Sus scrofa: one gene and its partner. The protein of the gene in region 1 interacts with the protein of each later gene in a pairwise test. Links are inferred from orthologs where the notes say so. Each region holds a gene or a part of one and is shown in the gene's direction. Other genes may lie near its edges.

What was found.
Region 2: the proteins of PLSCR1 (region 1) and SLC35A2 interact in a two-hybrid assay, tested with the Homo sapiens proteins (2 studies listed by BioGRID and IntAct). The two-hybrid records come from large-scale screens. The link is inferred for Sus scrofa from reciprocal best matches to the Homo sapiens genes PLSCR1 and SLC35A2.

Annotation. Positions count from the first base shown.
Region 1 is NC_010455.5:86,846,381-86,850,028, reverse strand, and holds part of PLSCR1 (phospholipid scramblase 1), read left to right. Parts: intron 1-694; coding exon 695-915; intron 916-2,230; coding exon 2,231-2,392; intron 2,393-3,648. UniProt on the Homo sapiens protein: Catalyzes calcium-induced ATP-independent rapid bidirectional and non-specific movement of phospholipids (lipid scrambling or lipid flip-flop) between the inner and outer leaflet of the plasma membrane resulting in collapse of the phospholipid asymmetry which leads to phosphatidylserine externalization on the cell surface.
Region 2 is NC_010461.5:42,981,956-42,985,603, reverse strand, and holds part of SLC35A2 (UDP-galactose translocator), read left to right. Parts: intron 1-1,093; coding exon 1,094-1,830; coding exon of another isoform or gene 1,831-1,849; exon of another isoform or gene 1,850-3,023; intron 3,024-3,475; coding exon 3,476-3,503; coding exon of another isoform or gene 3,504-3,648. UniProt on the Homo sapiens protein: Transports uridine diphosphate galactose (UDP-galactose) from the cytosol into the Golgi apparatus, functioning as an antiporter that exchanges UDP-galactose for UMP.

The DNA of each region.
Region 1 (3,648 bases):
AAAGATTAATTAAAAAATAAATAAATAGGGGGAGTTCCCGTCGTGGTGCAGTGGTTAACAAATACGACTAGGAACCATGAGGTTGCGGGTTCGATCCCTGCCCTTGCTCAGTGGGTTAATGTTCCGGCGTTGCCCTGAGCTGTGGTGTAGGTCGCAGACACGGCTCGGATCCTGCGTTGCTGTGGCTCTGGCGTAGGCTGGCAGCTACAGCTCCGATTAGACCCCTAGCCTGGGAACCTCCATATGCCGCGGGAGCGGCCCAAGAAATGGCAAAAAAGACAATAAATAAATAAATAAATAAATAAAAATGGTATAGCTAGATATTGTAGTATCTTAGGATACATTTCTCTTTTATTTTTTCTTTTTTGTTTTTTGTTTTTTTTTGTCTTTTTGCCTTTTCTAGGGCCACTCCTGAGGTATATGGAGATTCTCAGGCTAGGAGTCTAATCAGAGCTGTAGCCACTGGCCTACGCCACAGCCACAGCAACTTGGGATCTGAGCCACATCTGCAACCTACACCACAGCTCATGGCAACGCCGGATCCTTAGCCCACTGAGCAAGGCCAGGGATCGAACCCGCAACCTCATAGTTCCTAGTCGGATTTGTTAACCACTACACCATGATGGGAACTCCAGGATACATTTATTATTTTTTAACACAATAGTCATAATGATTCCCTCTTATATGTTTTTAGTCTTAACAGGCTTTGAAACTAATAACAAATATGAAATCAAGAACAGCCTTGGACAGAGGATTTACTTTGCAGCAGAGGACACTGATTGCTGTACTAGAAACTGCTGTGGGCCTTCTAGGCCTTTCACCATGAGAATTCTTGATAATATGGGCCGAGAAGTCATAACTCTGGAGAGACCACTAAGATGTACCAGCTGTTGTTTCCCCTGCTGCCTGCAAGAGGTTGGTAAGCAAGTGCCAGGGTAATTTTTGCAAATATTTTGCAAAGTAATCCTGCAGGAATTTTCACCTCATCATTGAATTTATGGAATCAAATGAGATTTAAAGGAAAATAAGTCCATAAGCTATTGGTTTTTGCTTGAGAGTAAGTTGTACAGGAAGGAAGGCAGGTGAGAAAGAGTGAACAATTAGCCCCATGTCCCTGAACAGTGCACATCCTGGGAGATCAGAGGTCTCAGAGGCCAGACTTCTTGATCTTCAGGGAGAGCCGAGAAGGCAGGGCACCTTAGTGAAGTACCCCACCTGAAATGACCATGAGGGGCTTGGCCAAAGCCCAAGGAGGACACCCTGTAGGATATCCTAGAACGCCATCCCAGAGGCAAGTGAACAAAAGAATGGGGAAAAGCACAGATACGTTCATCTCAATTTTCGCCAACCTACAAGGACCAAACCTAGCAGAGGCTTCCTCTGAGAAATTTCAACTGCTGTTGTTTTCAGTTCTCCACTGGAAAAAAGTACTGTATTTGAGTCCCTGCAATATGGATGTGCTGGTTGTGAACCCCTTCAGCTCTAGAGAGACCAGGTGTCTCTTTCATAGTACTTGACAGCCCTCTGATAGAGAACACAGATCTCAGGGAGATGCCAGTGCACAGAGTGTTTATAGGAAGTTGGCCTTTGCCTAGATCCCCACTGACCTGAGCCCAGCACTGCCTGGGTCACTCGGTCATCCGCACAGGGAGCTGTGAGAGCAGGGCAGACAGAGACACAGGCACATAAAGATCTGATGTCTAATACTGCACTTATTTTGAAAAGATAAAAGAACTTATTTAAACTGAATTTTGGTTTTCATGTTATTTAATTTAGATGTGATAATATTTATAGGAATAGTTGAGGGAAAACTGATTTGATAGAATATTTTCCACAATTTGTAGAGCACATTAGCATACTTTATACTATTGGTTTTAATAAACAGGAAATCCTCATTTACAGATGAACATGCTGAGATGCTCTCAGGGTCACCCATACATTTTTCCTAAGTATAAAAAATTTAAAATCTAAGAGACCAGTAGAGCAGTGCTCAGAGTGGGGATTGTGAGTTTATAGCTCATCTTCTACTTTGCATCTGGGGAATCTGATGCAAGTTAGTTAGCCTCACTGTTCATCAGTTACTTCCTCTATAAATAGAGATGATAGTACCAACCTGGTAAAGACATGGTGCGAACTAAAACAGTGCCTAACATTAGAAGGGGTTCAGTAAATGAGAGTTCTTACTAGACATTTTTATGATTACAATTTATATATTCTTTTGCTTTTGTAGATAGAAATCCAAGCTCCTCCTGGCATACCAGTAGGTTATGTTACTCAAACCTGGCACCCATGCTTGCCAAGGTTTACAGTTCAAAATGAGAGGCGAGAAGACGTACTAAAAATTACTGGTCCATGTGTTGTCTGCAGCTGTTGTGCAGATATTGATTTTGAGGTAAGAGATGTGATAATGTTTATAGGTTTTGCTTTCTTAACATAAGAATAATATAAACTTAGAGGATGTTACAAATGTATTAAGTAAATATGTATGCCCTGATTCCTCAAAAGGGACTCAGTGTGCTCATATATTTATTTTTTGTCGGGGAGATGGTTATGGCTCTGATTAGGTGTCACTGTTGCTTATGCTAAATGGAAAAAAGAAAAGCAGAACTTTGTAGTCAAGTAACTATAAACAAAACACCTAACATTTAAACATGGTGGTTTCTGTATGGAGGCATTGTATATTACCCATTTTAAACAGAACATTAACCTTGTCATTTAAGTCTGAATGCCAAAGCTTACAGTCCTTTCTTAGTCTGAAACACTGACTGCCAGTACTCTAGGCCCTCTTCAGAAGCTCTAATATCTTTGAGTTCCTACGAAAACTCAATTATGCAGAAAGAATTTTAACAAAGATAATGTAAGAGGTACTACCTAATTATGCTTTTTTTTATTTTTAATAGTCATTTCCCCAATATAATTTTTTTTTCTACTGTACAGCATGGTGACCCAGTTACACATACATGTATACATTATTTTTTTCCCATTATCATGCTCCATCGTAAGTGACTAGACATAGTTCCCTGTGCTGCACAGTAGGATCTCATTGCTAATCTATTCCAAAGGCAATAGTTTGCATCTAATTATGCTTCTTCATGATCATGCTTTTATCCTCATATTAAGTTCATTCATTAGAAATCACAATATGTGTGTATATTTACTACCTGGAGGAATTTCATCACAGCAGTTTTTCATCAAGTGGGGCCCAGCTTTATGGCTCAAAGTATTATTTAGTTGCAAATGCTTAAAAGTTGAGAGATTATAAAATCTATCTTGCTATCATGATTCTTTCATATAAGCATAAAATCTGTTAAACTGGACCATTTCTACAGAAGGGATAGAAATCTAAAACTGAACAGAGCTGTCCCCTTATGATAAATAAGATATGGGAATTCTGCCACTGTCCTCTGGCTTCCCAAGGTCTCCCATTATTCAGCTTCATTCTTTTATATTATCTGCCTGGCTTCTCTCATAATGATTTTTAATTCCTCTGTTATATAAGGATGAATTACTACTCTCATTGACCTCAAAGTCTAACGAGAGAGACAGGAAATTCTAAGAAAACATGTATGATGTATATAGAGACGCTTATAAAGGATGCATATACTGTGTGTGTGTGTGTGTGTGTGTGTGTGTGTGTGTGTGTGTGCA
Region 2 (3,648 bases), on another chromosome or scaffold:
ATGGAAGTGGTACTGGTAGCTACTCACTGGGATGCTGGGATGATTAAAAGAACTAATACCTGGGAAGAGCCCTTGGGAGATAAGCTCTAGGCTGTTTACGGGCAGCCTTGTGAGTTGGTTAAAGAGCCTGGACTCTGGGGCTGAGCTGTTTGGGTTCACATCCCAGCTCTGCTCCTTTCCAGCTGTGTGATACTGGGCAAGTGACTTAACCTCCCTGTGCCTTGTCTCATCTTTCACTTAGATGTGACCAACACTGCCCATGTCTACACGTGAGCATTAAATAAAAGAATGCATGTGAGGGCGTTCCCGTCATAGCTCCGTGGTTAACGAATCCAACTGGGAACCATGAGGTTGTGGGTTCGATCCCTGGCCTTGCTCAGTGGGTTGAGGATCTGGCGTTGCTGTGCGCTGTGGTGTGGGTCACAGATGCGGCTCCGATCCCGCGTGGCTGTGGCTGTGGTGTAGGCTGGCGGCTATAGCTCCAATTCAACCCCTAGCCTGGGAACCTCCATATGCCGCAGGTGTGGCCCTAAAAAGCAAAAAAAAAAGAAAAAAAGAATGCATGTGAAGTGCTTAGATCCACACCCGGCCCATAGCGAGCTTGATGGAAACGTTTCCTGACATCATGTTGTGGTGGATTCGTTTGTATCAACATGTATTTACCAAGACCAATACGGCTCACATCAAGGTCTTTACCATTCATGCATTCCCTGTAGTGGGAGGTGTTTCATGTACGGCAGTCATAGTTACAGATGCCGACGATGGCCGGGCTCAGACAGGGCAAGTGCTTGTCCCTCATCCTGCAGCTAGGACATGGGTTGGGCCACGTGGACTCGAGCCTGGCCCGGGACATCCTTGCACAGCCATCCTCCTGTGTCCTTTCTCAGAAGCCGTCAGAGCTATTTAGTAGCCGCATCCCAGTCTGTGGGCAGCGACTGGATATTTTTGCGGGTTTTATTGGCATCTCCCCATGCCCTCCCCCGCCCTCTATCGTGCCCGGGGGCCCACAGTGGGCACCATCCCCCGCATGCACATGTCAGGGGGTGGGGGGAGCCGGGAGCAGCCCTCAGTGCCTTCCACATGCCTCTCGCAGGTGACGTACCAGCTGAAGATCCTGACCACGGCACTGTTCTCCGTGCTGATGCTGAACCGCAGCCTGTCCCGGCTGCAGTGGGCCTCCCTGCTGCTCCTCTTCACCGGCGTCGCCATCGTGCAGGCACAGCAAGCCGGCGGTGGGGGCCCTCGGCCGCTGGATCAGAACCCTGGGGCGGGCCTAGCCGCTGTCGTGGCCTCCTGTCTCTCCTCGGGCTTCGCAGGTGTCTACTTTGAGAAGATCCTCAAAGGCAGCTCAGGCTCCGTGTGGCTGCGCAACCTGCAGCTGGGCCTCTTCGGCACGGCGCTGGGCCTGGTGGGGCTCTGGTGGGCCGAGGGCACTGCTGTGGCCCGCCGTGGCTTCTTTTTCGGGTACACGCCTGCCGTCTGGGGCGTGGTGCTCAACCAGGCCTTCGGCGGCCTCCTAGTGGCTGTCGTCGTCAAGTACGCCGACAACATCCTCAAGGGCTTTGCCACCTCCTTGTCCATTGTGCTGTCCACCGTTGCCTCCATCCGCCTCTTCGGCTTCCACGTGGACCCGCTGTTTGCCCTTGGCGCTGGGCTGGTCATCGGTGCCGTCTACCTCTACAGCCTTCCCCGCGGTGCAGCCAAAGCCATAGCTTCCACCTCCGCCTCTGCCTCCGGGCCCTGCACCCACCAGCAGCCTCCAGGGCAGCCGCCGCCACCGCAGCTGTCTTCCCACCGCGGAGACCTCAGCACGGAGCCCTTTCTGCCAAAGTCAGTGCTGGTGAAGTGAGGGCTGGCGGCGGTGGGGGGGTCGACAGGGAGGGGTGCTGGGTGGAGGGGGCTGGGCATCTGCAGGACCCAGGTTGCCACGGGGGTGGGGCCTGGCTCCTCTGGGGTTGGAAGGGTCTTTTCTTCCAGGTCATTGAGACTTCCGGAAGGGTGTGGGACGAGGGCAGGGCAAAAACCAGGGGTTTTTAGAGCTGCCTCCTCGGTCCCAGTCTAACCCCTTTGGGAACTGGGTTGGGGGGATTGTCCTTCAAGGCCTTTTTTGTCTGTCCCCCTCAGCCAGAGGTGTCCTGTCTCTCTTGCCTGGGAGAGTCCCTGCCAGCGACCCCTCTACCTTTGTAGGGTCACATTTGGACAAAAATGCTACAGCTCTGTAGTCATGACTGATGCCTGCCTGAGGGGTCGTTTCCCATAGCCTGAGGCCTCCCTCCTCCCGGATGACCACACTGGATCGTGTTAGCAGCTCAGTTTTTCGTGGCCTTGGGGCAGCTTCCCTGATGTGGGGACTTGAAAATGGGCCTCTTATGAGCACCCAGGGAGAGAGGAAGCAGGGGGAGAGCTGAGGTTTTTGCATCAGCCCATTCATTCAAGGGGAGGGTGCCGTAGGGGTCCTTTTTTTCGTGGTTTGGGGACTCGTGGTGTAATCAGATGAATTGATTCAGGGTGTGGGGGAAAGTGGGGAAGGGCGGTCCTTGAAGTGACCTAATCTCATGGAATCTCTGACACTGTCAGCTGCTGGATGCAGGGTTGTGTCCTGAGACATCTCGAGAGGAGAGATACAGCTGCCAACCACACTTGTGATCCCCCAGTGGCTGTAAGAGGCCCCCTTCCTTCATGGGGAGGGGTGTCTTTAAATTGCTGAAATGTGGAAGCAGCCCCTGCACTCCCCAAAGCTTATTAACCCCTTAACCGTCTCCCAGGGTACATGTGGTATGTGTGCGTGTGTGCGTGCGTGTGTGTGTGTGTGTGCGCGCGCGCGCACGCACGCGCGTGCACCTAGTGCACACTTGCGCTTGGGAGATGCCTGGGCTGTCTCTGCTATATGTACATAGGGCCGTTGGATCTTTATTTTTGATTAATTTGTTCTGATTTTTTTTTTTTTTGGTTTGTTTTCTAAGGAACTGTAATGAACAAATGTCAGGATACCCAATGCCAAATAAAGATGTTGTATTTATTTAGTCCACGTGTAGCTTTCTGACCCAGAGAACCCGCTGTCTCCGCGTGGGCTCTGTTACTAACCCCGGGACTACCAGCCTCACCAGTCCCCCTCGCTTGCTCAGGACGCCTGCCTGCCAGCCCACCCCAGCTTCCGTCTTTCTTTTTTTCTTTCTTTCTTTTTTGCCATTTCTAGAGCCACACCCATGGCATATGGTCGTTCCCAGGCTAGGGGTCCAATCGGAGCTGTAGCCGCCAGTCTACACTACAGCCACAGCCACGCGGGATCCGAGCCGCGTCTGCGACCCACACCACAGCTCACGGCAACGCCGGATCCTTCACCCACTGAGCGAGCCAGGGATCGAACCCCCATCCTCATGGATGCTAGTCGGGTTCTTTAACCGCTGAGCCACGATGGGAACTTCCCCCACCCCAGCTTTCTTGTGTTTTTCTTTCCTCCCCACTCCCACCACAGGTTGCTCACCAAGGTGAAGGGTTCCTAGCCGCTGGGAATGAAGACGCTGGCCTGGCCTCGATCCCCCTTCTTGCCCTGGCCCAGTCAGGGCCAGACTCTCTAATCAGTATTAGTGGGGGGTGGGGTGGGGGACACACCAAACCCCTTGTCCCCACCGCCCCGTCTCCTACGCA